7 linked regions of the Macaca fascicularis genome follow. The protein of the gene in region 1 purifies or fractionates together with the protein of each later gene. This does not show direct contact. Links are inferred from orthologs where the notes say so. Each region holds a gene or a part of one and is shown in the gene's direction. Other genes may lie near its edges. The genes, in order: MED4, IFT20, MED12L, MED9, CCDC138, CDK8 and CDK19.

Region 1 (4,179 bases):
TTAGGATCTTAACGATGTTCAGTTCAACCTCCTGTGAGACTGAGTTCCAGGGTGAACCGATGAGCTAGAGGTTAATGGTGAGTGGAACCAGAACCTAGGTCTTCTGACTTTAGTTGAGTAATTTTTTTCTACTGAACAATAATATCTAAAGAGAATATTTTTTACTCGTGGGTAGTATATAAATTAGTTCAAACTGTGAAAACTTCTTGAAAGTTGTCATGGAACTAATGTGTACTACTTACCTTAATAATACAGCTTTTACAGAAATGGAAGCCTAGCTTTCTGCTACGATGTAGGAGGAATGAGGATTAGAGGTCTATTAAATAAATAGAATATACTTTACTTTTTACAGAAAAAGCTTTCTGTTGTTATTTAAAATACTCAATATTTGGCAGTTTGTAGCTCAGTCTTTTGTCTATTGTATTAGAAGAATTTCTATAAAAATGAGAGGAACTTCATGTCAAAAGGAACTTGAAGAGACATACCTGTATTTTTTAGTCTTCAACAAATTTTTTAAAATAGTTTTAAAATTGATTCTGAATTTTGACAGCTGTTTTCTTTCTGAAGTAGTATTCTCTACTTAGCACAGTAAAGTAAGGGTATTTAGACTAAACTTGCATCTTAATTCTGTACTGGGGTGGTGATCGTAATAACTAGCCTTTGCTGAGCTCTTCCTGTATGTACTTAAAGTGCATTATATCATGAATCCTCACAATACCTTTATGTAATGGCTACTATTAATATTATATTCCTTTTCCAATTAAGAACACAGGCTCAGAGAGGCGGGTAACTTTCCCTATGTCACACAGCTAGCAAATGGAGGACTAGAGATATGAACCACCAGACTTTCTATTTTATGTGTTTTAGGCTTCATGGTTTTTTGCCATATCTGCATACCACTTGTTTATTTACTGTTTTATGAAATCACTGTTTTTTTGTTTTGTTTTGTTTTGTTTTTGTGAGACAGAGTCTCGCTCTGTCACCCAGGCTGGACTGCAGTGGCATGATCTGGGTTCACAGCAACCTCCGCCTCCTGGGTTCAAGTGATTCTTCTGCCTCAGCCTCCTGAGTAGTTGGGATTACAGGCGTGTGCCACCACCCCTGGCTAATTTTTGTATTTTTAGTAGAGACGAGGTTTCACCATGTTGGTCAGGCTGGTCTCAAACTCCTGACCTTGTGATCCGCCTACCTCGGCCTCCCAGAGTGCTGGGATTACAGGCGTGAGCCACTGTACCTGGCAAAATCACTGTATTTTTATGATCATCTTCATCATAAGTAATACTGTGCATAAAATCAGAGTTTCAGTGTCTCAGTTTTTTCTAATATATATTAGCACAAATGTGTAACTGTAAAAGCTTTTTTAAGTTCTTGGTGCCACCTAAAATCATCTCAAATACTAAGTTTTGGGAGAACCTTCATTATATATATATTTTTTTTGAGATGGAGTTTCGCTATTGTTGCCCAGGCTGGAGTGCAATGGCACGATCTCAGCTCACTGCAGCCTCTGCCTCTGGGTTCAAGTGATTCTCCTGCTTCAGCCTCCCGAGTAGCTGGGATTACAGGCATGCACCACCATGCCCAGCTAATTTTGTATTTTTAGTAGAGATGGGGTTTCTCCATGTTGGTCAGGCTGGTCTCGAACTTTTGACCTCTGGTGATTCGCCTGCCTCCACCGTGCCTGACCTATGTTGTATTTTTAAGGATAAACTCTTTTTTTTGAGACAGAGTCTCACTCTGTCACCCAGGCTGGAGTGCAGTGGCATGATCTTGGCTCACCGCAACCTCCACCTCCCAGGTTCACACAATTCTGCCTCAGCCTGCTGAGTAGCTGGGATTTTAGGCACCACCACACCCAACTAATTTTTGTATTTTTAGTAGAGATGGGGTTTCACCATGTTGGCCAGACTAGTCTCGAACCCTGACCTCAAGTGATCCGCCAGCCTCAGCCTCCCAAAGTGCTGGGATTACAGGCATGAGTCACTGTGCTCAGCCATAAGGATAAACTTTAGAATTGTATCTTCCCTAGGAAATCACTAAACTTGCTCATGTTGCCATATTGTTAGTTCTGAAAGACTAGTTTTATTTTGTTTTGTATGAAAGAATAGCTGAAAAAGTAGAAAAGTTTTATATTTATGTTTCCCAGAATAATCATAGGTAGGCTATTTTTATTTTTAACAAGAATTGGGAATAATACTTTGAAGGTGTTGAAATTTATAGCCTAGCCAATTCAGTTATGGATTCTTTGTTTCATTGAAGTGCAGCCTTTCAGTAGTCTATTGTTTGATTTAATTGACTGTTATCTGACAGGTCCTGGAGTTGTTAATTCACCGAGATGGGGAATTTCAAGAACTAATGAAATTGGCACTTAATCAGGGAAAAATTCATCATGAAATGCAAGTTTTAGAAAAAGAAGTAGAGAAGAGAGACAGTGATATTCAGCAACTACAAAAACAGCTAAAGGAAGCAGAACAGATACTGGTAAGTTGACAGAGGTTGGTTCTTAAGGTTAAAAAGGATATTGTTTAATCTGTTTCTGAAAAATCTGTTGTCAGTATTTTGAAGAGCAGAAAACTAGACTTTTTCCTTTTTTTTTTTTTTCTTGAGACAGAGTCTCGCTCTGTCCCCCAGGCTGGAGTGCAGTGGCGCAATCTCGGCTCACTGCAAGCTCCGCCTCCCGGGTTCACGCCATTCTCCTGCCTCAGCCTCCTGAGTAGCTGGAACTACAGGGGCCCACCACCGCGCCCGGCTAATTTTTTGTATTTTTAGTAGAGACGGGGTTTCACCGTAGTCTCCATCTCTTGACCTTGTGATCTGCCCACCTCGGCCTCCCAAAGTGCTGGGATTACAGGTGTGAGCCACTGCGTCCGGCCAAAAAAACTAGACTTTCCAAGTCTAAAAGTGACATCTTGTCACTAACCATTGCCCGTGTTTGAATGAAAGGCTATTGTCATTCTCTTTTTTACTTACATTTTCAGATAGCCTGCATTACTTGTGAGCCACATTTTCATTACTTAAGGATTTTACAGTATTGAATTATAGGAGTGGAAAGTTTTACTTTTATCCTGGTCTGATATAAATTTTAATATCAGTAGTCTAAATCTTTTTTTTTTTTTTTTTTTTTTGGTCTCTGATCCTTAAGATAAAAATCAGGGACATTTTTCATTTTTTATATATTTTGAAATTAGTAAAAATATGTACACATTTTATAAATTGATTAAAATTTACATTAATTTAGTCATTCATCCTCATCTAGGTAGGCTTTGGACATATATCAAGGATCTGAGTTTTTCCTTTGCTGTTCTTGGCTACTATTTCAAAGAGGCAATTTATTTGCTACTATTTGCCCAGTTACTTCACTAAATACTAACTAATATAATATAAGAGTATTGCAGAAATAGCTGAGCTTAATTCTCATGTCGACCAGACATTGCTGGCATCCTTAACCACTGATGAATCTCTTAACAAATGTGTCAAAATGAGCTCCAGTAACTAGAATCCTGCGTAGTTCAGGGTAAATTAATCACCCTTACTGAGGAAACAACTCACTAGTAAATGGTTTTTTAAAATATATTAAAATCAGGCCAGGCGTGGTAGCTTACACCTGTAATCCCAGCACTTTGGGAGGCCAAGGCAGGCAGATCACAAGGTCAGGAGTTCGAGACCAGTCTGGCCAACATAGTGAAACCCCGTCTCTACTACAAATACAAAAATTAGCCAGGTGTGGTGGTGTGTGCCTGTAACCCCAGCTACTCGGGAGACTGAGGCAAGAGAATCGTGTGAACCCGGGAGTCATAGGTTGCAGTGAGCCGAGATCACGCCATTGCATTCCAGCCCAGGTGACAGTGCGAGACTCTGTCTGAAAAAAAAAAAAAATTAAAATCAGGCATGGTAGCTCGTGCCTGTAATCCCGGCACTTTGGGAGGCCAAAGCGGGCAGATCACCTGAGGTCAGAAGTTCAAGACTAGCCTGGCCAACATGGTGAAATCCATCTCTACTAAAAATACAAAAAAATTTAGCTGGGCATGGTGGTTCACACCTGTAATCCCAGCTACTTGGGAGGCTGAGGCAGGAGAATCGCTTGAACCCAGGAGGTGGAGGTTGCGGTGAGCCGAGATCACGCGATTGCACTCCAGGCTGGGCAAAAAGAGCAAAACTCCATCTCAAAAAAAAAAAAGGGGG
Region 2 (4,685 bases), on another chromosome or scaffold:
GGCGCATGTCACCAGCCCTGGCTATTTTAAAAATTTTTTGTAGAGACGGTATTTTGCCACATTGCCGTAGGTTTCGAACTCCTATGCCCAAGTGATCCTCCCACCTCAGCCTCCCAAAGTGCTGGGATTATAGGCATGAGCTACTGCACTGGCCAGATCTTTTTAAAAAGCCCTATTTTAAGGAAGCTACAGATGAACACAGTGCTTCAAAAGGATGATGCTAGCTCACTTACATCAGTGGATTCCAGTGAGGCCAAAGGCTAAAGTCATCTACAGACAGCTCATAGACACGTATTAGTTAGCCCATGCAGTGTTGAATGTGGGTTTTCCCCCTTACTTAAAAGTTTTGAATTACATACCAACATTGAGATATTGGATTTCTGGTCCTCTTAAAAACCAGAAGTTCTGGCCGGGTGCGGTGGCTCATGCCTGTAATCCCAGCACTTTGGGAGGCTGAGGTGGGTGGATCACGAGGTCAGGAGTTTAAGACCAGCCATGGCCAACATGGTGAAACCCCGTCTCTACTAAAAATACAAAAATTAGCTGGGCAAGGTGTCAGGCGCCTATAATCCCAGCTACTCAGGAGGCCGAGGCAGGAGAATTGCTTGAACCCAGGAGGTGGAGGTTGTAGTGAGCCGAGATCATGCCACTGCACTCTAGCCTGGACAATGGAGTAAGACTCCTTCTCAAAACAACAACGACAACAACAATAACAACAACAACAAAAGATCCAGAAGTTCTGGAAACAGTGAGACTTGATTATTTTCGAACCATTGCTCCTCTTGTGGCACACCTGCCCTAGACAGCCACCCCCAGAATCACCCCATTCAGAACAGGACTTCTCTAAGGAAGCCACGAGGGAAACAGCTGAGGCTGGGGGCAGTGAGGGTAGAGGGAAGAGGCTGGTGCAGGTCCAAGTGATGGTAGACTTTGGAGCACCTGGGTTTTAGAATTGGCATAGCAGCTAATTGCTAGATGTAACTAGCATTGCCTCCCTTTTTAAACAGGTCATATGATGTCTATTTTTAATTTTGTGTGTGTGTGTGCGTGTGTGTGTGTTTGAGCCAGAACGAGGGTGAGTTTTCAGTATTTCCTTCCCAGAATTGAGGCATCCTTTGGAACAGAAATGCAAGGTGGCTTGGAAAGGGAGAAGATATCTTTGTTAGTTCTCTGTTGCCTACAGAAAAAATCGTAACTCCTTAGCTTGGCATACGGGTCTTCCTGGTCTGGCTCCAGCTCACCTTTTCAGCTCCATCCTTTTTCCTTTCATCCTTAGGCGGGGTAGGTCCTTTCAGTGACTTCAGGCCTTTGTCCATGCTGTTTTCTCTGCTTGGAATACCTATCCCTGGCCTGCTGCCTTGATACGTTCTTGCTGATACTTCATTCCTTTTTGTGTTTTCTGCTAGAAAGAGAATAACCCAACTTTGATTCCCAATTCAGGCAAGCATACATTTTGAGTAATATTCTTACTCCTGACTTTGTATTTTTTAACCATAATTTTTAATTCACCCAGATTTCTTTTATTTGGTTTGTGTGTTGTTCCAGTATGTGTATTTGAGAAGCCTTCTCATGTGCTTTTGGGTACATAACTGGTGATATATAAAGTAAATACACTTATGGCTCACAACTTAGTTCAGATGTCACTCCTTCTTTAACGGCTCTATCCTCCTCTGGCTCTTTACTGATATTTCTAAACAAGCATTTAACACAGTGTGATTTTTCAGTTTCCGTGTCTGTCTTCCTCCAGCTGAACTATGTGTCTTCAGGGCGGGCACCGTGTTGCATTCATCTTTGTACCCCCAGCATCTAGCAGTGTTGGCATGTAGTAGGCACTCAAGAAATGTGTGTTGAATGAACGATGCCTGTGACAAGTAAGCGGACTTTATTCTTTCCTGACCCTTGCTCCTATGACACACCTCCTCCTGACTGCCACTGTCACTCCTTCAGAGCAGAACTCCTCTAGGAAGTCTGGATGGGAAACAGGTGAGGCTCAGAGAGGTGGTGGCAGAGGGAATGGGGAGCCTTTGGAACATCTGGGTTTTTGGCATTGGTGTCCAAGGGCAGGAACAGGGCTGGCTTGGCAGCAGGCATTTCATTGGGTGGCTAGGAAGTGATGAGGAATTGGGCTGGTTTCTTTGCAGCCATGGCCAAGGACATCCTGGGTGAAGCAGGGCTGCACTTTGATGAACTGAACAAGCTGCGGGTGTTGGACCCAGAGGTTACCCAGCAGACCATAGAGCTGAAGGAAGAGTGCAAAGACTTTGTGGACAGTGAGTATTGGGGAGATACCGTGTCACTCAGCTTTGAGCTGCCATTCCAACTGTACCCCAGGCTCATCTTGGCCCTGCCACAGTGGAGCTGCTGGCTCCCTGGAGGTCGAATCTGGCATCTGTGAGTTCCCATGTGCCACCCTTCTCTGCCTGCCCTCGTGCTCTCATGTGTCCCCAGCAGAGCACCAGTCAAACCAAACACTGGGATGGGGAGGGTGTTTTTAGAGATGCCATCTTTCATTTCTTGCTCTTAGAAACCTTAAACTTTCTGGGAACATAACCATGGCTTGGGGGTGAGAAATAGAATTATGTACTCCTGATTTGATTTCTTTAGAGGAAGTCTTCTTAGTGGCAGGTTCTCTGTTATTTGGAGTTAGAAGTGATAAGTGAAGTTTCTAGAAGCAGCTCAACAGACTTACTGAAGTCATCTTTTGGCTAGAAATCTTCAGGAAGCCTCCTGTCCCAGCAGCCAAGTAAGCCCAATGCATTCAGTACAGAGCCCTATCTAGCTAGAGCAAGGGATTTCTGAGCTTTCTGGGGGCTTCCTAGGTTGTGGAGAGAGCTTGATTAGTGAAAGGTAGCTTGGGTTCTGTCACTAACCTTCTGTGATTGATGTGCCATGCACACACCTCTCTGGGCCTTAGTTTTCCCTCAGTAAGTTGTGTTTCCGTCACATCCAGGACATTGGAGAAAGTGAACAGGAGATTAGGCACTTAATGCTGTGAGCTCTCTATTTTCTGTGGTTACAAGTGGGAAGCCCCCATCCCCACTGTTAATTGAAATCTGGTGTCATACCCGTAGCTAGTCCAGAGGCAGCGCTTGTGTCCTGAGGCTGCCCTTTTGTGAACAACAGTGCTTCCTGTCATTCCTGGGGAAGCAGGTTGGGGTCTGTCTGGAGGATGAGCCCAGCAAGGGCCTAGTGCTTTCATAGCCTGAGATCATAGCAGCTGGTTGGCTCAGTGGGGACACAAGGTCCGGGTATGTCCTGGTCCAGCTGGCCACCCTTCTCTAGGTTCAGACCAAGGGTAGGAGACAGGCCAATAGGCACCAAAGTGTTTAAGTGACAGGGTCTCGCTATGTTCCCCAGGCTGGAATGCAGTGGCAGTTCACAGGCATGATCACACATCCTCTAACTCCTGGGTTCAAGTGATCCTCCCACCTCAGCCTCCTGAGTAGCTGGGACTACAGGTGCTCACCACCATGCCTGGCTCACACCAAACTATTTTGACACAAATTAGAAGGGGCAGTCAGCTCTGCCCTCGCACTGCCTCAGCACTCTTACTGAAGGGCAGTGATGAGACTGAGGAAATATTTTATTTTTTGTTCTTTTTCTGAAAGAAATTGGCCAGTTTCAGAAAATAGTTGGTGGTTTAATTGAGCTTGTTGATCAACTTGCAAAAGAAGCAGAAAATGAAAAGATGAAGGTAAGATCAGCATGTCTTCTGCCTACGTCTTGGCCTGGGACCCTAGTTTACTACCCTCTCATCTTTCTTCCCTCTTGATTTGTTTAGAGGGGTGGGTGGGTGAGTTTTCATTTAAGATTTTAAGGCCGGGCGCGGTGGCTCAAGCCTGTAATCCCAGCACTTTGGGAGGCCGAGACGGGCGGATCACGAGGTCAGGAGATCGAGACCATCCTGGCTAACATGGTGAAACCCCGTCTCTACTAAAAAATACAAAAAACTAGCTGGGCGAGGTGGCAGGCGCCTGTAGTCCCAGCTACTCGGGAGGCTGAGGCAGGAGAATGGCGTAAACCTGGGAGGCGGAGCTTGCAGTGAGCTGAGATCCAGCCACTGCACCCCAGCCTGGGCGACAGAGCGAGACTCCGTCTCAAAAAAAAAAAAAAAAAAAAAAGATTTTAATAACTTCTAGTCCACTTAACCTACTGAACTTACGCCAGTCTTTATTTCCTTTAATCTTTTTTTTTTTTTTTTTTGGAGACAGAGTCACCCAGGCTGGAGTGCAGTGGCGCAATCTCACTGCAACCTCCACCTCTCAGGTTCAAGAGATTCTCCCACCTCAGCCTCCCAAGTAGCTGGGACTACAGGTGTGCACCAACACACCCAGATTACTTTTTTGTATTTTTTTTTTTTGAGATGGAGTTTCCTCTCGTTGCCCAGGCTGGAGTGCAAGGGTGCGATCTTGGCTCACTGCAACCTCCGCCTCCAGGGTTCAAGTGATTCTCCTGCCTTAGCCTCCCGGGTAGCTAGGATTACAGGCACGCGCCACCACGCCTGGCTAATTTTGTATTTTTAGTAGAGACAGGGTTTCTCCATGTTGGTCAGGCTGGTCTCGAACTCCCAACCTTAGGTGATCCACCTGCCTCAGCCTCCCAAAATGCTGGGATTAAGGTGTGAGCGACTGCACCCAGCCATTTTTTTTTTTGTATTTTTAGTAAAGACAGGGTTTCACCATGTT
Region 3 (4,179 bases), on another chromosome or scaffold:
AAACATCAAAATAATACATTTGCTAGGATTCACAGCAAGTCCCTAGAAATATAACACAGGACTGAGGCAAAATGTAATTCTGTCTCTCCAGTGTTTTTGTTCGTAAGACCAATGAGGTAATGTATTTTAAAATTTTTATTAATGCTAAATGTGATAGCCCTCTCAAGCATTTTCCCAGACTTAATCATAGGTTATATAATTATATAAGATTTTCTTCTTCCACCTAGATGGGTAAATGCAAAATAACTAGCCAGATTTCTGTCTGCATAGAGGAAGAAGAAAGCTAAAATTTTATTTAGCTTTGTTTCTTAATTTGTTAAAGATAAGAAGTTGCTTTTTGCTATCAGTATAAAGCTCAATTTATCTTTAATTGAGAGAAAAATTAAACTTTAATGGAGAGAAAATGATTTCTTTTTCCTGATCTTAGATTTTAAGTAACTGGAGAGAAGAACGATACCAAGATGACATAAAAGCGCGGCAGATGATGCACGAAGCATTGCAACTCCGCCTAAATTTGGTAAGAGACATTTCTAGTATTTTCCCTTCATTAAACATATCTACATGTGAAAATAACTCCAGCTTTCCACTTCTCCTAAGTTCAGAGTCTGCATTACAAGGTGAGGCCTTCCACTCTTTGCTCTCTGTAACTACTTCCCTGTTTCTAAAGCCTTCTGTTTCCCTTGCTGCTTTCCTTCCTGTCTGGTCATACTTCCAGACAGTGCTAGGTATTTTAAGCTTTGATTTGCCTTCTTTACCTCTACCCTAGTGAATCTTTCCTTCTCTTCAGTTTGTGCTAAGTGTAGGTCTGAGAAGACTATTATAAGTGTTAGCTTCTACTATACTTATTTAAAACCATTTAAAAAGTCTTTTAACTCAAAGTTTTGTCCAACTTTCCATCAAACTGATTATAAAGACAAATCCCACAGAGAAGTTTTAAAGAAATTTAAAATTTCTCACATATTGTGCACTCCTTTGAGTTTTCTTTTCCCATCAGGCAGGTCCAAGTGCAGACCTCTATGGGGATGGCCTGCTTGATACTTTTGCAGTTGTTTCTAACCTCGTCCCAACATGTGAACTGGTAGGCGTGCGGGCCAAGCCTCCTGCCCATCACTGCTGTGCTAGTGGATGTTTCCATATGGTATTATGATAGCAGGCTTAGATTCAATAGTAATTGTACAGCAAACACAAAGTTGCAGATAATTGAATTACATGACTTTGGCATTATTCAGGTTTAATTCAACTATAATTGCATCATAAAAATGGACATCATAAAAGATTTGGAACAAAAGAAAACTAAGTTTATTGGTGCCCACATTCAGATACTCACTTCCCTTCTTCATTTTATTTAATTTTTGAATGAACTGTGCTGAAAGAACTAAAAATAGTGATAAACATGTAGGTAAGTGAGAGAAAAGATAAGATAATCTATAAACTAGAGCATCCCTTGTTTTTTTAAAGAAAAAACAATGAAAATTTGACCACATAAAGCAATGGGATGTTGTTTTCTATTTTACAGAATGCAAATATTTTACTGTATTTTATCTGCTAGGTAGGAGGAATGTTTGACACGGTGCAGAGGAGCACCCAGTGGACTACAGACTGGGCCCTCCTACTCCTTCAGATCATTACATCAGGAACTGTTGACATGCACACTAACAAGTATGTTTTTGTCATTTCACATTTATCTTGCTGCATGTATGCATGGTATAAGCTTTGATATACTGATGACGATTTCTGCCACATCTTATTTACTTGGATACTATTAAAAATTTTGTGCCTTGAATAAAAATACTCAGTTAAATAAGTGTATTTCAGTTTCATTTTAAGATGAAAACAATTATTTTCTTTCTTTCTTAGTGAATTATTCACAACAGTTCTTGACATGCTGGGTGTTTTAATCAATGGAACATTAGCCTCTGACCTATCAAATGCATCCCCAGGGGGATCTGAAGAGAATAAGCGTGCATACATGAATTTAGTAAAGAAACTGAAAGTAAGTTTGAGATCAGCCTGTATTAAGAGCTCAAGTTGTTCATGGATTTATTATCTAGTGCATTTTAATTTACTACTTAAATTAAATGTTATTAATTGTATTCAACTTAATTTAATGTGATTATTTGCTATTTGTTTCACCTAACCTTATCAGTACCCAGAAGTTACAAGCACATAACCTTGATTATTTTTTATTAACATTATATTATAAAACATGTTTAATTTTTAAAAGAACTTTAGAAATCCACTGTTAAATGTATAACCAGAATACTAACATTAGATAGATTTAGGATAACTCTATGCTTGGACTGGCACGTGTAATTGAAAAAATAACCATCTGCATTGATATTTATAAATCAATTCATTTGACCACTAACAGAATCTTTTAAAAAAATTGTAAGAAAACAGTGCAAAAAGAAAACAAATAAATCTGATGCGTTACCAATCAAATAAATCAATGGTTACCTTGTAATCTGACCCTGGACATGAGAAAGTGTTCTGTTCTGCAGCTCCTGCATTCTGATTGTGACTGCTACCCTGGATTTTTGTCATTTCAGCACTACGATGTTTGTTGTGTAACAACAGTGCCTTTGTGTATGTGTTCTATTTTCTACTTAAATAGAAGAAATGAAACACTCACTACTCTATTTGGAACTGCCTTGTAGACCATGTTCAGGGTTAAAGAACATGCGCTAAGCTATAAAAAGGGAAATGTTTCATAAGGAACCTTCTTTCTGGTTAACTTTTGCCTTCATTGTAATTTCTGTCCCGCTTCTCACTCACTCACTCACTCTCTCTCTCTTTTTTCTTCAGAAAGAGCTAGGAGACAAGCGATCAGAAAGTATTGACAAAGTTCGACAGTTACTACCTTTGCCGAAACAGACATGTGATGTCATCACTTGTGAACCTATGGGTTCCTTGATTGACACAAAAGGAAACAAAATTGCTGGATTTGACTCTATAGATAAAAAACAGGCAAGAGTAAATGTTTTTTCTCATATATACATTTATTTACAAAAAATCAAATACTTTTTCTTGTCTTACCATAGGATATATAAAATATCTCAATTTTGCTGTTGATGTTTTTAAGGCATATGCTTGTCTTCTAAGTGTACTTAGTCATTGGCATTATCATATAAAGAAGTCATATCTTTGAAGATCTTCGTTTTATATGTTTAAAGGACTTAAAATGTTTCCCTGAATTTAAGTAAATTTCTGAAACATGCCAAGAGAAACTAAGTAAAAGCTTAGTGTAAAAAAAAAAAAAAATAGCAAAAATAAGTTCTGGTTTTACTTCAGATTGAGAAGCAGAATACATTTATCAATACACAATTTCTTGTAAGCTGAGCATGGTGGCGCATGTCTTTAGTTCCAGCTGTTTGGGAGACTGAGGCAAGAGGATTGCTTGAAGCCAGGAGTTTAAGGCTGCAATGTGCTAGGCTCATGCCTCTGAATAGCCACTACACCCTAGCCTGGGAAACAAAGTGAGACCCTGTCTCTGGGGGGAAAAAAAAAAAAAAAAAAAGAAAACCTTCATGTAGTAAGCTATTTCAAATAAAAATTGTTTGAGAAAAGTGGTCAGTTATTCTTTTAATGAACATTAAGCAACCACAGACATTCCACAATCACCAAGATGAAAGAGTTCCTACCGTGAAGGGGGAAGTAGACAGACAATTACAGTGTGATGAGATTTGTGTGTCATGGTACAGAGACAGTATTAGGGGATAGACTAGGGTCCCCAGGAAAATTGACATGAGTCATTTTGAAGGATTAAGAGTTAGCTGGGAGGTAGGGAAAATTGTGGTACAAATAAAGGGAGAGTTTATAAGAAGACATGAAAGAATCAGATTTACCAGGGAATTTAGAGTAGTCTGAGAATCTGATACCAGTTTGTGTAAAGAAAAAAAGCTAAAGTCATGGTCAAGTTTGAGTTTGCAGTGTCAGCGGACTTCCTGGTAGTAAGACATCTGGAATCCATCTGGATATGTGGTTTTTACACCAAGGAAAAAGTTCTCATCTCAAGACAAATATTGGGAACAGTCAATTTACAGGTGATAATTGAACCTTGGTTTTGTTTTGTTTTACTTATTTGTTATTTATTTATTTTTGAGACGGAATCTGGCTCTGTCTCCCAGGCTGGAGTGTAGTAGTGCGATCTTGGCTCATTGCAACCTCTATCTCTATCTC
Region 4 (3,580 bases), on another chromosome or scaffold:
AAACAAACAAATGTATAAGAGCAACTGCCAGGCTGTTTTTTTAATCTTAAGGGAGATTGTTCTTGCCTCGTTTTTCATTGAGTAGGACCTCTGTGCAGCTAATAGCTGTGAGATAGAACGAACGGTCTGCCTTGAAAGTGAACTTGAATCAAAGGCAGGGAGTGTCCATCACCATGGCAGAAGAGAGCCTGTGTCTGCTGAGACATTTAAATCAGTTCCATTTTAACTAATTTAAAATTTATGAACAGCTCTGTGGAAATTAGTCTTTATGTTAAGAGGTTCAAGCCAGCATCAAAACCTCAGCTAAAATTAGCTCTTGCTAGCTGGTGAAGCCTCCTGATTGGCCTAGAAATGGCTCCAATTAGACAAAATGTCATATTTTAGCAAGTTTTGTTTGGCATTTGTCACCTGATATTGGTATTGGTTTGTTAATTGAACCAACATGTTCATGAGCTTATTTGCCAAGCATTCATTCTTTCCACAGACATTTCTTGAGTGCCTGCAGTGTGCCACACACTGGGCCGAGGGTAGGGAGACACCTGTGACCAGACAGACATGGTCCTTGACCTCACAGAGTGACAGTTGACTTGACAGAAGATCAAGAGTGTCTGTGTGTGATCTGCAAGTGTTCTAGGCCTGGGAGCTCTTTGCTGGCTGCCTAAAAGAGAACCCGTCCCTTCCTCTGGGGGTGGACAGCCTAGTCAGAGGCTAGACACATAAAATGAAGTGTTCTAAAAGCTATCGCAGGAATGACAGCGAGCTCTGGGGGGTGCAGGATGGGAAAGCCAAGACATGTATCAAGCTGCGAATGCTAACAGCTGTTCTTCCCCCACAGCATGGACAAGGACAGCCCGGAGGTCCACCAGGACCTGAACGCCCTCAAAACCAAGTTCCAGGAGATGCGCAAGCTCATCAGCACCATGCCCGGCATCCACCTGAGCCCTGAGCAGCAGCAGCAGCAGCTGCAGAGCCTCCGGGAGCAAGTCAGGACCAAGAACGAGCTTCTGCAAAAGTACAAGAGCCTCTGCATGTTCGAAATCCCCAAGGAGTAGAGTGAGGCCGACTTCCTGAGAAACGGGGGGAAGCCAATGGCCTGTCTCCCCACTACCATCCCCAAAGTCTCCTTGGGGCGTGGTTCCTGTGGACCCCAGCTCAGAACCTCAAGGTGCAGGGGCGGGGCTCCTGTGCTGCTGCATGTGCGTCGCCTGTGCGGGAGCCAGCACCGAGCTTGGCTGCGCTGGGTTTCTTCGTGTAGATCCATATGTCTAGATGCATAATAACTGGAGTGCCTGCTGGTGGAAGTCAGAATGCTCCTGGAGGCAGCGGAGGGGGTGGAGGGCTCTCCCCTGCCGCTGGGGAGGGGGCCATCTGCTGCGCCGGGCTCCACTGACAGATCTGAAGAGCACAGTAGGAAGGGAGGCAGTTCCTCTTTGCTTCCTTCCCTCCCTCTCCTCCCACCCCCATAGGATCAGTGTGTACCAGGTACACATTGTTCCCGTTAAAGCAGCTTCTTGAAACATTTGCATAGAATTCACTGGATGAATTAAGCCTGCGCTCATATGGCGTAGAACTGTGAGATAATGTTTTGAAAGGCCAGAGGGTGGCCTTTTTCCCAAACAGTTTGGTTCCTTTTATGTTTGAGCCAGTGAATGGAACTATAGCTGTGGGGGTGTCAGCCCAGAGCCCTGCCAGGCAGCCCCTTGCTCCAGGTTCCCTGCCTCCTCCAGGTTCCCTGCCTCCTGGGCTCTCCTCGCGGTCACCTCTTGCTCCCTTCCTCGCTCATCACCCTCAGTCAGTGCCCAAGAGTGGACAAAACGCTTCAGATGTGCTTCCCCAGGGTTGACAAGGGGCCATCCTTTCCACACAGGCTCGAAGAGGTCTTCAGGCGAACAGACCTTCCCCCTTCTGGCATTTCAGATTCCCATTGCTCTGGTTAAAAGATCTTTTCCTTCTGGCCTTTGCACTTGTGGCAGCAACATGTACTACACTGCAGAGGGGTTCACTATGCACCTTGTGTTCAGAGAGCGGCAACCCTGGGGGCCAGTTCAGGTGGTCCCCGACCATGAGCTAGGTCTGAAAGTTACACAGCCAAGTTTGAGCTCTTAAAAGTTTGTGAACAGCCCTCATTTCCCCAGCTTCCCTGATTTCTTCCAGATGGGACGTTTTGTTTGTGTGCTCTCCCTTGCCTGTCAGACTGAGGTAAGAGCAGTTCTCTCCCTTTCCTCTCGAGGAGGAGGTGTGAAGTCCTGGAGTATTGTTTGGGTCTAGGAATGGGCACATAACCTGCGCTGACCAGTTTAGGGGCTTAACAGATGCCCGTCAACTGACCTCGTTGGCAGGAGGATTGGGTGGAGATGTTTTTAGCAGAGCTTCCATTAGTGTAGACCTGTAGCCACGTGTCAGAAGGTGGGTGGCATATTGGGGACCTGGGGCTGTGTGAAGGAGGAGATCAGATTTCAGTGGCTTTGGGCAGAAAAGCAGGCTCTGGATTTAAGCGAGTGGTCACCTGTGAGACCAGTTCTACCTTGGGACTGTTATTTAACTGAATCAGTTATTTCCTTGAAATTTCACAGTAGTGGGTGGGCCAGTTTTAAGGCTCTGACAGATACCATGAAACATGAAGCACGTGGAAAATACAAGACCCCCAGGGTCTTTCTGAGTGCAAGGCTGAAATGGACAAGGGCTCCTCGTAGGGGCGGAGGGAGCCGGAGCCTGCCTTGTGTTCCTTTGTTGACTTGTAACATTTTTCAAATGCATAATTAAAAGGACTTACGCTCTGCTGTCTCAGGACATCATGCTTTTTGGACTGAGAAATTCATAGTGGGATGGCTCTCAGGGAGTTGAGAGAAAAATGTTTCTGTCTATTCAGACACAGAACCACACCTCTGCTTATCACCTCCCTCCGCCCCAGGACACACACCTGCTGAACCAGTATGGAACAGGAACTCCTCTCCTGGCTGGCCTCAAGGGCAGTTTGCCTGGCGTGTCATCCCTGCCAGTGCCTGTCACGAGCCCCTGGGCCATCCGTGGTTGCGTTTTTTTTTTTTTTTTTCTTCTGGTGGGGCGCGGCGGGGTGGGGGGTGCCTTTCTGTGACTGGAGGAGGAGCCACCCTCACTGGAGCAGGGTTGAAATCCTTCTCAGACGATTTTGAGTGTCTCTCACAGGGCTGAGCACCCTCTCAAAGCCACCAATTATTTGGATTACTGGGTGGCCAGCATTTGTGCTAAGTACTTTTCAAACATCGCACTTAATCCCCATAGCGAGCCCATGCCAGGGGTGTTCACTCTTCCTGGGGTGAAGAATTTGAGGCTTGGCAGGTGTCGCCCACCACAGGTTTACAGTACTAGTGGCAAAGAGAGTGGTGCTCCAGGGTGCCTTAGCCATGAGGGAGACAGCAAGGCTGAGCGGGGCATGGGGCTCCACACCTGGCCATGAGCACTGCCTGGAGCTAGTGGGGAGCGGAGGCCAAGGAGTTCCCTGTCTCCAGACAGGGTGGCACCCTGGAGTGAGGGGGTGGGGGTGGGCACCAGGATGGGCCTGCTTCCAGATGGGTCTCAGGCTCTTTCCCCAGGGCCTGAG
Region 5 (4,179 bases), on another chromosome or scaffold:
CACCTGCCTTGGCCTGCCAAACTGCTGGAATCACAGACGTGCCTGGCCAGGCCTCAGTTTTTTCTCACCTCCTCTGGGCAGTGGCTCTCATCTCAGTTCAGCTTTCAAAGCCTTTGCAGTGTTGCTGTGGAGTTGTGCCTGTGCCTCTTAAAGGTCGGTCTGAGACTTGGGTAACAGTTTAAAATCCTGATGCATTTCTCAAAGCTTTTGCTGTGGTGCTCTGGGTCTTTTTTGTGCAGGTAAAGAGGCATTGAAGTGTTAGCCAAGACTTAGGTAACGGTTTTAAACTGAGCTCCATTCTCCAAGTGTTTGCTCTACTGCTTTTGGTCTGTCCTGTGCCTGAGCGGCTCAAAGGTGAGCCCAATTTGTACAGGTTCGTAAACACCAGAGTGAGAGGATCCTCTTTGAGTCTCTCTTCTGCGGGATTCTCCCTACACTCTGGCTCGTCGGGGCCCCTCTTCCTGATTTTCCTGCAGGAAGACTGGTTTTCTCTCATTCTTTAGTGGACATTTTTTAGAGCTTTAGTGGAAATTTAAAAAAAAAATTTTTTTTTAATTGTTGCAGAGACAGAGTCACTGTGTTGCCCAGGCTGGAGTGCAGTGGCTATTCACAGACGTCATCATAGCTCACTGCACTCTCAAGTCATCTTCGTCCCTCAGCCTCCTGAGTGGCTGGGACTATAGATGTGTACCACTGTGCCCAGCTAGTGGAAGTTTTTGTTCTACTTCTCTGTGTCTGGGACCCACCCTGAGGCAAAATGTTGACAGAAGAGGAAAAACAAAAATGCAGGAAACTTTACCCTTGAGAGTTGCTTCTACAAGTTTTCTCCCTCATCACAATGTCCTCCCCTTTTTTCTTTTCACAGTTGTCAGTTAGTTGTTTTGTTTTAATTAGGGCTTTTTGCTGTAATCAGTGGGAGAAGACTGTATTGAGCTTATCCTGCTGTGCCAGAAATGGAATGCATATGTTTTTAATATCTTTTAGATATGGAAAAAGTTGGACAATGAAAATATTAGTTTTAAAAATAACTATTTGTGACTATATCCCAAGTTATTAAAGGAATTAATATAGTAAAATCATACAAAGATTAACTTCTTAGAATATTGGATTTTTTTCACAGGGCTAAAGGATGCTTAGATTCTCTGATCTCTCCATTTTAGTCTTGTTCTTGATTCTCTCTCTTTAGATTTGTGTATCTATTTTATTAAGTATAAAGATAATTGCCTTATTTTCATCATATTTATATCATTACTTGGAAGAAGGGAATTAATTCAGTTTTTTTATTTCCTGTAGAGACTTGTTTTAAAACTTTGTGAGTAGGTTGAGAGTGAAAGGTGAAACTATTAAGTGTTCACATTTGAAATCTAAAACATGCTATCCCATTTAAATGTAATGAGAGGGGAAGTTGATTTGAGTTATTTTTAAAACTGATTAAGAAGAGTCAAATCGTTTGGGGCTCAGAAATTGTATTATGTATTTAACATGTTTTGAGATGAAAAGCAGGCATCAAAAATTTTAGCTGCTGTATGAGGACAAGAAATTAGTTGGTTTTATAAAAGATTTCTTCTATTTCTCAAGGGTAATGTAAATTATACACTTTATAAAGCCATAAATAGCTTACTTATCTCTTGAAGAGTATCAGAAATTCTTTATTGTTTTATTATTCCATGATGTCAAACAAAATATTTCTGTGAGTTTGCGTGAGTGGATTTTTCTGAGCAGAAGCAGAAAATAGACTTACTGCTACTTTGTAAATGCTAATATGTTTTAATAAGTATGTTGTAAATGCCTTTGACGTTTTGTTGTTATCTTGGTAGATTGCATGGTTTTTATAAATTATTTGCCACACTAGTCACTTGTGCTTAAATACGCTTATTAAAGGTTTTGTGATTGAAGGAGTTCTTACTTGTAATTAATTCATGTTCCATAGTATTAGTGATATACAATCCTTACAAGTTTTAGGTCACAGTTGTTTCTTTTTTCTCCTCCTAGCAACATGATGCAGAAGTTGAACACTTAACTGAAGTTCTTAAAGAAAAGAATAAAGAAACCAAGAGACTGAGGTCCTCTTTTGATGCGTTGAAAGAATTGAATGATACCTTAAAAAAACAGGTAAGACCAGTTTGAATAGATATTGGACATAAGACATTCTAAGAACCATATTTCATATACAACAAATTAAAGTCAGCCTTAGAACACGTTTCGGCTAGAGAAAATTTGGATTACATTTGTTAGCTTTATTTTAAAATACTTCCAAATGTAAATAAAATATTCTTCAACTCTTTGGTTTCTTTCTTTATTTGTTCTGCAACCAACTGACAGGCAAAGGAAAAAAAGACAAGCAAAAGAAAAAAAGACAAGCAAAAGAAGAAAACCTGATAACCTGAGAACTAATTACATTTTTAGGTAGTGATGTCTGGCTTTAATACTTATTATTTATCACTACTTATTTAACATTCATTTATTTTTTAGTATCTATTATATCCTAGGCATCGTGCTAGACTCAGACCTTCACATTGCTCGTGTTCTCATGGTTATAAACTGGTATCACATTGCAGTATACTTACAAATAAGTTTTGTAGGCCGTGCACGGTGGCTCATGCATGTAATCCCAGCACTTTGGGAGGCCAAGACGGGTGAATCACGAGGTCAGGAGATCGAGACCATCCTGGCTAACGCAGTGAAACCCCGTCTCTACTAAAAATACCAAAAAAAAATTAGCTGGGCGAGGTGGCGGGCGCCTGTAGTCCCAGCTACTCGATAGGCTGAGACAGGAGAACGGCGTGAACCCAGGAGGCGGAGCTTTCAGTGAGCCAAGATCGTCCCACTGCACTCCAGCCTGGGCGACAGAACGAGACTCCATCTCAAAAAAAAAAAAAAAAAATTAAAAAAAAAAGCATTGTAATTTAGATTAATACATAATATCAAAGTTGCATAACATAAATATTTTTGTGAGTTATGTCTATTTTTTTCCTTCCCTCTGCCAGTTTTTGGCAGAAAGATGTGAAAGTAAAGGAGTATGTTAAAGAGAGACAAGAGAAGATTATGTATTTTTTAGATTGTGTGGGGAGTAGATGTTGGAGCAGAAATTGGAGTAAACCCCGTCACTTTGAAAATGAAAGCATTGGGCTGTGAATCTGTACGGATTATAAAATGTAACTTAAGCCTCAGACTCTCCCGGAGTTCCTTTGCCAGCTGTCCTTTTCTGTTTCTGCTTTTGTTTCCCTTTAATCTCTACTTGTTGTGATCCTCCTCCTTGGCAGTGATACATAGGTACCCTGTTTCTCACCTGATTCTAATTCTTTGGCTTTCCTCAGTTCATTTATGACTGTTACTATTGGACTATGAATTTGATGGCCTGTTGTCTGTTCGGAATCCCGCTTTATCCCTGGAGAGATCACTTTTTCTCATTACAGTCTCATTCTACCACTCTCTCATGAGGATTTTAAAAATTCCTAGCTAGATAAACTGTTGCCCATACCCATCTCTTAGGTTTCTGTAACCCTTAATAATTTTGCATGTGGTTGCATGCGTGTGTGGTAATTGGGGTGGATATGTGGATTATTAAATATTTGGACCTATTGGTAATTGGATTTATGAGCTAATGTGTACAAACTGAAAAAATGTGGCAGAATGCTTTTTTATGGTTTCTTTGTTAAGAATAGATCAGAGGTCAGCGCACTTTTTCTGTTAAGGACTAGATAGTAAGTATTTTGGGCTTTGTAGGCCATGTGGTCTCTCTTTACTGACCCAGCTCTGCCATCATAATGCAAAAACAGCCATAGGCAATAAGTGAATGAGTGTGGCTGTGTTCCAAAACAACTGTATTTATAAAAACAAGCAATGGGCATATTTAGCCAGCTCCTGGCCAGATGAATGACATGTACTTTGAAATTGCTGAAGAAAAAGATATGTTATTTCTGTGACTGACTTACACAGTAATTTATGCTAACACTGGATATACATTTTCTAATAATTTAAAAGCATTTCTTGTTAAGTCTAGCTGAACTGAGGAGGCAAGGATTAATGTTCAAGCGTCATCATGGGGAGATAGTCCCAGTGAACACCCCAAGATCTCAGTTGAAAGGAGCAGGGTTGTGCCTTGGGACTGGGTGAATTAGAGGGAGACAGAACTTTCCTAAATTGAAACCTGGCCTTGATTAAGTGCAGTTCCTGATC
Region 6 (4,929 bases), about 21 Mb from region 1:
ACATTCCTCAAAAAATACAAAATACACTGTCTAAGGAAGAATCTTTTAAATCCGTATTTAGAAAGATGTAATTCTTTAAGGATGCAAAGGAGCAGTTCTGCCAGAGTCACCCAATTTACATCACTGAATGGAAACAAGTAATATGCCATTAATGAAAGCTTACATGTGTTTTGTGCTTTGCACTTAGCAAAGAAAAAATTCTAGGCTCCAAGAACACACTAATAAATGATAATACAGGATTCAAACCCAGTATACGAAAATACTAAATACTTATATAGTATGCTAGGTAAAAACAATTTAATTTTACACAGTGCTGAAGTCGCTAATTTTCCCCAAGGAAAAATTATGTAAGAGAAAGCCCTTTGGAGGTTTTTTCACAAGATGGTATCTTCATCATCATCATATGCATATGGATTTTTTTTGAGATAAACATGTTTATTCATTCATTAATTTAACAAGTGTTTACTGTGCATCATTATCAAGGCATGACACTAGGTTTTATGGAAGATGCAAATATGACTTCCTATAACAACTTAGGATCTAGCAAGGGAGAGGAAATAAAAGATGAAACGGAATTTGATAAATAACACAGGAAAGGTGGAAAAAAAGTGTTAAAAAGTTCACATTAAAAGTGCAAAGTTCCCTTTGGGAAGTGGGGAGCTTTAGTGGAAATGGTAACAATTGGAAACCAAAAATTAAAAACAGACAAATAAGAGGGATAAGATAAAATGATAGATTAGTATCAATCTTGAAGCAGGACTCCTGAAGCAGGACATACTGCTACCGCAAAATTATTAACAAACTAGTTCCCATGGATTTAGATCCTTTCTGTAATCATAGCTAGAAACTGGTGTTCTTATGGGGAGCATCGCAGAAGGCTGTACTGTACTCAATACTTCCTATAAATGGACAGGAAAGGTTGGATGGTCATCTGTCACAAGAGTAACAATGTTTAGAAGTAGCTTGGACAGTAGTCATTGATTCACTTTTACTGGAGCTTGTAATGTCAGTATGTTGACATCATTGTGCAGCCCTTATCAGATTGTGAACACCAAGAGTACCCCAACTGCTGGCCCGCGAGCTGTTTACAAATATATCCGCTTTTATAGATGACAGTGGCCTTTAACATCTGGAGTTCAGAGTGGCACAAAATGTGTTTCTAAAGCTACTCTCCTTCCCACGTGCATCTCTTTGGTCAAGTTTATGGCTGGAATCAGACTCTAGTTAGATCGCTATAAAAATAAAAATAAAAATAAAAATAAATTTTCCCCAAGTGATTGAAACGAATTTCACCCTAGACTACGAGTCCCAACATGCAACGCTCCCATATTCCCACCATGTGGGGCGGAGTCGTAGAAGAGGCGGCAGCGGCGGCGGCCTATGCATTCTGGGTATTGTAGTCTCGGAACCGGCCACCGCTGGGGCTGGTCCCACGTGTTGCGTTTTGCGGCAGCTTTGGGCAGCGGCTCCCCTGCTCCCTCCACACGGTCCTCAGGGTGCCAGCGCCAGCAGGGGCGGCCAGCCACCGCGGGAGCGGGTTGGAGGGTGGTTCGGAGGCAGCCCGAGGCTTCGCGACGTTTTTGCGACAGCCGCGGCCGTGTTCCGCGAGTGCCCTCCCTCCTCCTCTCTTTGAGGAGGTACCGGCTGTTGTGCGGCGCTGCCTTTCTGTTTGAGTGTATGGGAGAGTGAGTGAGTGAGTGAGTGTGAGCGTGTGTGTGAGCGCGTGAGGCGTGAGTGCGCGTGTGAGAGGACGAGAGCCCGCCTGGCCGCCCCGCCGCTCCCGCCGCAGCAGGAGCAGAACGCGCGACCGGAGAGAGCGGCGGAGCCGGCGCCCAGGGAGCCCGCGGGGACAAGGGCAGAGACACCGCTCCCCACCCCCAGCCCTCGTCCCTCGGCTCTGCTTCGCCGGGGGATCCTCCCCGTTCCTCCACCCCCGGCCGGCCTCTGCCCCGCTGCCCCCCTGGATGTCCCCGGCGCTTTCGCGGGGCCTCCTCCTGCTCTTGCCGCATCAGTCGGGCTGGTGCTGCGGCCGGCGGGCGTAGAGCGGGCGGGTTCCCGGGGGCTGCGGCTGCCCGTGCTTCCCCGGTCCCCACCCCTGCCCCCCGGCCCCCCGACCCAGCTCTCCGGCCTCGGAGGCTGTGACAATGGACTATGACTTTAAAGTGAAGCTGAGCAGCGAGCGGGAGCGGGTCGAGGACCTGTTTGAATACGAGGGCTGCAAAGTTGGCCGAGGCACTTATGGTCACGTCTACAAAGCCAAGAGGAAAGATGGGTGAGTGTGTGCGTCTGGGCCGGTGTCCGCGCTGGGCGGCGCTCCCGCAGGCCGAGGCAGGTAGCCCGGAGGGAGAGCGGGCCGCCGGGGTGCCGGGCTCTGACTTCCTCGACGCCGGCCTCTGGCTCCGCCAGCAAGGTTTGGGGAGGAAGTGGTGTACAAGGGATCCAAAGCCACAAGAAATCCTGCGTGCCGCATCTGTGTTGTGCTTCGGTGCTAAGAGGGAAGAGGAGCCTCTGCACCGTGGGCTATATACTTTTCAAGGATTTCAAAGCTGATTTATGAAAAAATGCGTTCTAAAACGCCGGGTGAAATGTTTCTGTTTGTTTTTTTTTCCTTGGTCGATTTATTATGGTAACCTTCTGGGGATTTCCTCACCCGCCTCGGGAGTGTCATCCATCGGTCTAGAAGGAAGGCTGTGATCCTTTCCCCCACCAGTTTGTGATCGATTTTTTATCAAATTTGTATTTTATTTGAGGGAAGGAAGGCAGCGAGTGAATGTAGTTCTGGAGAGAGTTCCCCATACGGATCATCTGCACCATACATGTTGCAGTTGCTATTTAGATATTATTAGCTGTGAATTTTTACATAGAACAATGGGGGTTTGGTGCAGGGTGGGTGGTGGGGAAGAAGACAAGTGACATAGGGACTATCTCGTTGAGGCTGTTTCCCCCAAATTTAGCGGCTGGCAGTGAACTTTAAATAATCCCTTTGCTTTAAATATTCTTCCCTAGTAACAACTTAATTAAACCTATGAGTGGTAATGCTTCCAATTTAGTTTCTTAACAGGCAAGTGAATTGTTCGTTTTTTTCTCTTTGTCAGTAGATGAATGTCTTGTAATATTGACAAAAGAGAAGGCAGTTCTTAGTGGGGGGGAATAATATATATTTTATTAACTCCATGTTTTCTTGTAAAATGGATGTTGTCTCTGTTGCCTTTGACAGAATAGAAAATTATTGAAAAGTCAAAGCTTATTATATAATCTTTGGATTTTATTAGAAACGAAGTAGCTTTACTGGAACATTCCAGTTTAGTTACCTGCTATATGATGTTTAATCACTTAAAATTTCAGATTAGGAGAGTATGTTCAGACTACATTAGCACGAAAAAAAATTCATAAAGCTGAAGTTCCCTAGTGTGGGGGAGGGGGGCGCATATTTATAAATACTTTAGTATTCTGGATGTTGGAAAGGAAAGTGTGTATTTATTCAACATTTTTCTTAGATTTACTGAAATATCTTTCTAAAAGTGTTTACAATGGACTCTACGAGGAAGATAAGAGTTCTCATTAATTTGGAATATGTATTTTAGTGCTTTTATGCCACAATAAAGTGGAACAGATCGGCAGAAGGTAGGGATTTGGATTTGAAAACTTGATACTCTGGGCGCCGCACGTATTTAAAAGTACTTTTTAGCACTGGAGAAATCAGCGTCTGGAGATACTGCTGACTCTGTTGATGTCTAATTAGACTTATTGTTGAAGTTTTACTCTGTAATGACATATATTTTAAAAATTATGTTTGATAACTTACCATACAATATTTCTCAAAAGCTTTAAACCATCTCTCCTTCCCCCAGTATTATGTAATTTTGGGCATATTCATAAAATCCCCAATCCCATGAGATTAGACATTACAGTGCATTTGACCACACTGTCATGTTATATAAAATTCTAGCGCCTTTGCATTATTTTTAATCTGTGTGAGAGAAGCCGCTTCTGTTTTCAAAAACTATGAACTTAAGCTAATAAAATATGCATATTTGTTTTAACGTTGTACTTTTATTAGAAAACTAATACTGTGTATTGGCAGGAGGTACTTAAGCAAATATTTTATATCTCCATGGTCCGGTTTTAATTTAGGTTGTTAAGAATAATTTGAAAGAATAATTTCAATATCTTTGAATTTAAAGATAGTTGAAGGTATAATGTATGGACATTCTTAGTCATCCGTGACAGCTGAAAAGTAACATTGCATTTTGGAAAAAAGAGCTTATTATTTGTAATCCTTGGCGTTTGTTTTCCATCAGTCTTTAATGATTCTCTTTATGTGATGAACTTCTGTTTTTAATGGATCAAATGTCAAGAGAGTTTTAAAATTACTATCTTTTAGAGATAGTTTTGGAGAGTTTTAAAATTACAGGGATTTTTCAGTTTGACTTCTTTTTTGTAACCTCACTCTGGTAAAATATCGCATACTATTTATGAGGTTCTTTTGATCTTATGTCAGTGAAATGTAATTTAATGCATTTTAGTCCTGGTAAAATAAAATTTGTGGCTGTTTAATCTTTTATAATAAGATGATGATCAAATAATTTGTTTCTAGTATTGATTTACTTTCAAATTACATTATATATTCTGCAGCTGAGATTTGTTCTCTAGGAACTCAGACGGTAACACCTTCAAGGAGAACCTGAGAATTTCTATAAAAGGAAATAACACAAATAAGCTTGGTTTAGACATATTTGACTATTGAAATGAATGTATGTAAACGTTGTATCCTTTCAGTTGCCCCAGTGAGCATAGAACATGAACAATTGGTAAAATAATTTAGACCAGAGGAGTTAGCTGCTTAAATTATTAAGTTTTAGGAAATAAAATAGCTTGAAAGATTCATTTTTTGACTTACTTGAGGCATGATTGCATGGTAGGGAAAAG
Region 7 (4,179 bases), on another chromosome or scaffold:
TATTTCAAAATCATTTCTTCTCAAAAGCAAAATTTAATGTATATTTATAAACTGACATAATTGGGAGATTTTAAATTAACACATTATTTTCTATAACAATATTTAATTTTTTTGTAAGATAAAGACTGGGAAGATATTAGAAAGATGCCAGAATATCCCACACTTCAAAAAGACTTTAGAAGAACAACGTAAGTAATTCCACACAGTCCTAGTCTTTTTGTGCTGCTGTAAAAAAATACCTTAGACTGGGTAATTTATAAACAACAGGAATTTGTTTTCTCCCAGGCCTTGAGGCTGGACAATCCAAGGTCAAGGCACTGGCATGTTTGGAGTCCCGTGAAGGTTGTTTTCTGCTTCCAAGGTGGTGCCTTGTTGCTGTGTCCTCACATAGATAGAAGGGCAAAAAGGGGCAGATGCTGTGTGATGCCTCTTTTACAAGGCATTAGTCCCACTCCTGAAAGCAAAGCCCTCGATTCTGGAAGGCCTTATCTTCTAACACTGTTGCATTGGGAATTAAGTTTCAACAACATGAATTTTGGAGGGGACATAAACATTCAAACCATAGTGCACATTAATTATAGGTAGTAATTTCAATGAGAATAGTTAATCTTTTTAAAAAACATATGTAGATTGTTATTTAAACTAGAAACTGAGATTTTAGCATACTAATTATGCCTGTGATTTACAAAAGGTATTCCAGATACCATTAACGTATATAGTTCAGGTTTAGGCTGCAGTATTAAAGACTTTTAAGAATGTAAGGGTCAATGGGTAGTTTATGTCTGTTATGTTTTAGCATGAATAAAGGTCTCCGTTCAAGGCCACAGCTGTGGTTTTATTTTTTCTGAGTAATGACTGGTAACTGATATGCTGGACTAGGAAACCTGGAAGGCTGGCAGAAGGAAGAACATGTGGCTTGGAATATGAGTAAAACAAACTGATGAAGGCATTTACTTTGAGCAGAAATGAGATTAAGGGTGATGGCATGTGAGGTGTTTGTTATAAATATGCACACCTACCGAAAATTGTGGAAGAGCTTCTCTATTGGCAACTTACCAGGAAAATTTTAGGACAGGATGGCTTATAGGAACAAAAGCAGACATCATTAAGAGAAATAGAGATTGGCATTGATCATTTCTGACCCCTTTTTCTCACAATCCTTGGTGAGGTCCTTTGCCTGTATCCATCTCTCAAGGACAGTGCTAATATCAAGGTTCTATCCTGGGCCCTCTTCTCACTCTGGATACTTTCCCAGTCAGATGTCATGATTTTGATGGCCACAATTCACCATCCATTATGTGGATAACTCCCAATATGTATCTTACTCCGTTCACTTTTCCAAGTTTCAAAATCATTTATCTAATTGCCTTATGGAATCCCAACCTGAATGTTCTATAAATTCTTTAAACACCCAAAACCAAACTAGTTATTTTCATTTAACATTGTATGGTACCTTGTTGGCAAGGGTACAGTAAAATGGACATTCCGGCCAGGCACAGTGGCTCACTCATGCCTTTACTCCCCACACTTTGGGAGGCTGAGTCGGGAAGATCTCGAGCCCAGGAGTTTGAAACTAGCCTGGGCAACATAGTTAGACCCTATCTCTATTTTTATTTTTTAAAAATTATTACTCATATGCTACTGGAGAGAATGAGTACTTCTCAAATTTCAGTGTACCTACAAACCACCTGGAGACCTTGTTAAAAATGTAGATTCTAAGTCAGAATCAGGGGTGAGGACTAAGAACCTTCATTTCTAATGCAGGCTCTCAGGTGATGCCCAGGTTGCTGGTAAAGGCTACATTTGTGTAGTGAGATTCTAGAGCACCTAAAAAAGACTTTAAAATGTGCATGCCCTTTGACCTGATAATTCCTGGAATTTATCCTGTGGAAGTAATCAGAGCTGCCACAAATAGATGAGTACTTCTTATATACCAGGGTGGTGCTAAACCCTTTACCGACATTTTTTCCTAAGATCTTCCTAGCAAATCTATAGGGTAGGTATAATTACAGTTTCCACTTTTCAGATTCGGAACCTAAGGCTTTCACAGAGGTTAACTAACTTGCCCAAGATCACACAATTGGTGAATGACTGAATCAGGGTCTAGGAGGGGTCTCTGAGTCTCATCCGCTAGGCAGTGTCGGCTCCCTGCCATGCGTATCAGATTTAGCTACAACGACTTGTATGCCACAGTTATTATGAAACGAGTAATACCCGTACCAGTAGGAGATAGGCAGCCACTCAATAAGTTTGAAGAGTATTTGACAAGGGAAAATGTTTATGGAACAATATTAAATAAAAAGCTAAGACAATTTTTATAGTAGGATTCCAATTTTATAAAAACAAAGCAAAAATTCCTGTGTTTATACCATGTATGTATATGCCACACACACACACAACGCCAAAGGGACATTATAAAAATTTTGTCAGTGGTTTTTTGGCCACGGAGTGGCTTGATTGTGATTTTAATTTTCTTCCTTATACTTTCTATATTCTGTAATTCTTTTTATCATGAACATATATTAACTATTTTTAGACCTTTTTAATTTGAAATATTTCATATGTAGGAAATAATATATAATGAAAAAACATATAGTATATTTAGAATAATAAAATGAATACCCCTTTGCTCACCTCTGAACCTAAGAATTAGAACATCACTAAGATTACTAAAGTACTCTGTGTGCCCCATCTCCCTATCCACCTCCCTCCCAGAGGATAGACTCTGAGTGTTCTGCGTTTGAGTTTATCATCCCACAGTTTTTATTAGAGTTCTAGTCCACATGTTTATGTAACTCTAAAAATATTGTTCAATTTATTGTCTTTCAACTTTTTATAAATGGTAACATATTATGTATTTTCTTCTGCAACTTGCTTTTTCTCCTCACTTAACCTCGCATATTCGTTTTTACTGTTGTATAACATTCCATTCTGTGTATATATAAAAACGTACCCATTTTTCAGTTGATGGACATTTGGGTTGTCTATATATATATATGACCATTACTAAAATGCTGCTAAGAACATTTTTATCCATGTATCCTGATATACATGTGCAAAAGCATCCTTTGACTCAGGTTTGTGCCTAGAAATGGAGTTGATGGGTCATAGGCTATACACATTTTCAACACTAATGGTTAATGCATAACTGTTTTCCGAAGGGATTGTAACAGTGTAAACTCTCATGTTATGTGTGACATTTCCTATTTCTTCACACATTTGCTAATATTTGGTAATGTGTTCCTTCTTAATCAGAAAAAACAATGTCTTAAACACATACCTTATAGGAAAGCCAATCTTGGAGCTTGTCATTAAAAAATATCAATTGGATGAGCGTTCCCAGTGACGTGTGACTGTGTGTGTCCTTGCAGGTATGCCAACAGTAGCCTCATAAAGTACATGGAGAAACACAAGGTCAAGCCCGACAGCAAAGTGTTCCTCTTGGTAGGTGCTTCTCTCCCAGACTGAAATCTGATTCTCAGCACAACTCTCGCCTTCTGTTCACTCAGCTGTTCCTCCTCTTTAGAAACAAAAGAAATTGTTGGATGCTGGGGCAAAATTAAATATTTTTTGTTGAGATGTCACCCTTGTCTTTCAGCCTTCACTTTAAATGATTTATCAGCAGAAAATGAACTTTAAAAGGGCTTTAAGGCTGATGATTTCTGCCAGTTTCACATAAAAGTATGTAGTATGCTTAATCTGCAGTGAGGTATACAAAATGTATTTTATATTAATCCTGTTACACAGGAATACAAAAGGCAAGGCGTTGACTTGTAAACAACCTTTTCATGTGCTCTGCATTTCCTGTGTGTCACTCTAGCTTCAGAAACTCCTGACCATGGATCCAACCAAGAGAATTACCTCGGAGCAAGCTCTGCAGGATCCCTATTTTCAGGAGGACCCTTTGCCAACATTAGAGTATGTGTCCCGTCTTTTCTGTGTCCTTTGCTCCAGGCTGAGGAGGTGGCGTGGTGTTTGAAAGCAAGGGAAGCACTTGCTACTGAAGTATTTAACTTTTTCAGTGATGCCACCTAAAGACTGCTCAAGAGAAAGCTTCCACATTTTGAAACAGGCAAAGCTGTAGAGAGGTATGAATGAAAACAAGTATTTTAGGAACGACCATTTGTCAGTTTTACGATGAAAACTAAAGCTGAGAACAGGTAAGACCTTCACAGACCA

Evidence for each region.
Region 2: the proteins of MED4 (region 1) and IFT20 purify together in Homo sapiens (affinity purification with mass spectrometry; 3 studies listed by BioGRID and IntAct, with this or other methods). This does not show direct contact. The link is inferred for Macaca fascicularis from reciprocal best matches to the Homo sapiens genes MED4 and IFT20.
Region 3: the proteins of MED4 (region 1) and MED12L purify together in Homo sapiens (affinity purification with mass spectrometry; 3 studies listed by BioGRID and IntAct, with this or other methods). This does not show direct contact. The link is inferred for Macaca fascicularis from reciprocal best matches to the Homo sapiens genes MED4 and MED12L.
Region 4: the proteins of MED4 (region 1) and MED9 purify together in Homo sapiens (affinity purification with mass spectrometry; 10 studies listed by BioGRID and IntAct, with this or other methods). This does not show direct contact. The link is inferred for Macaca fascicularis from reciprocal best matches to the Homo sapiens genes MED4 and MED9.
Region 5: the proteins of MED4 (region 1) and CCDC138 purify together in Homo sapiens (affinity purification with mass spectrometry; 3 studies listed by BioGRID and IntAct, with this or other methods). This does not show direct contact. The link is inferred for Macaca fascicularis from reciprocal best matches to the Homo sapiens genes MED4 and CCDC138.
Region 6: the proteins of MED4 (region 1) and CDK8 purify together in Homo sapiens (affinity purification with mass spectrometry; 9 studies listed by BioGRID and IntAct, counting the BioPlex papers as one, with this or other methods). This does not show direct contact. The link is inferred for Macaca fascicularis from reciprocal best matches to the Homo sapiens genes MED4 and CDK8.
Region 7: the proteins of MED4 (region 1) and CDK19 purify together in Homo sapiens (affinity purification with mass spectrometry; 7 studies listed by BioGRID and IntAct, counting the BioPlex papers as one, with this or other methods). This does not show direct contact. The link is inferred for Macaca fascicularis from reciprocal best matches to the Homo sapiens genes MED4 and CDK19.

What each region holds. Positions count from the first base shown.
Region 1 is NC_088391.1:27,204,934-27,209,112, reverse strand, and holds part of MED4 (mediator of RNA polymerase II transcription subunit 4), read left to right. Parts: intron 1-2,307; coding exon 2,308-2,478; intron 2,479-4,179. UniProt on the Homo sapiens protein: Component of the Mediator complex, a coactivator involved in the regulated transcription of nearly all RNA polymerase II-dependent genes.
Region 2 is NC_088390.1:33,791,419-33,796,103, reverse strand, and holds the start of IFT20 (intraflagellar transport protein 20 homolog), read left to right. Parts: upstream 1-1,762; 5' UTR 1,763-1,858; coding exon of another isoform or gene 1,859-1,871; 5' UTR 1,872-1,907; coding exon 1,908-1,983; intron 1,984-2,141; coding exon 2,142-2,270; intron 2,271-3,608; coding exon 3,609-3,694; intron 3,695-4,685. UniProt on the Homo sapiens protein: Part of intraflagellar transport (IFT) particles involved in ciliary process assembly. May play a role in the trafficking of ciliary membrane proteins from the Golgi complex to the cilium.
Region 3 is NC_088376.1:54,233,645-54,237,823, forward strand, and holds part of MED12L (mediator of RNA polymerase II transcription subunit 12-like protein), read left to right. Parts: intron 1-427; coding exon 428-517; intron 518-1,549; coding exon 1,550-1,659; intron 1,660-1,857; coding exon 1,858-1,993; intron 1,994-2,457; exon of another isoform or gene 2,458-2,519; intron 2,520-2,805; coding exon 2,806-2,967; intron 2,968-4,179. UniProt on the Homo sapiens protein: May be a component of the Mediator complex, a coactivator involved in the regulated transcription of nearly all RNA polymerase II-dependent genes.
Region 4 is NC_088390.1:17,591,213-17,594,792, forward strand, and holds the end of MED9 (mediator of RNA polymerase II transcription subunit 9), read left to right. Parts: intron 1-835; coding exon 836-1,052; 3' UTR 1,053-2,780; downstream 2,781-3,580.
Region 5 is NC_088387.1:16,295,912-16,300,090, forward strand, and holds part of CCDC138 (coiled-coil domain-containing protein 138), read left to right. Parts: intron 1-1,992; coding exon 1,993-2,112; intron 2,113-4,179.
Region 6 is NC_088391.1:6,305,181-6,310,109, forward strand, and holds the start of CDK8 (cyclin-dependent kinase 8), read left to right. Parts: upstream 1-1,631; 5' UTR 1,632-2,144; coding exon 2,145-2,272; intron 2,273-4,929.
Region 7 is NC_088378.1:14,654,346-14,658,524, reverse strand, and holds part of CDK19 (cyclin-dependent kinase 19), read left to right. Parts: intron 1-118; coding exon 119-188; intron 189-3,371; coding exon 3,372-3,444; intron 3,445-3,820; coding exon 3,821-3,918; intron 3,919-4,022; exon of another isoform or gene 4,023-4,179.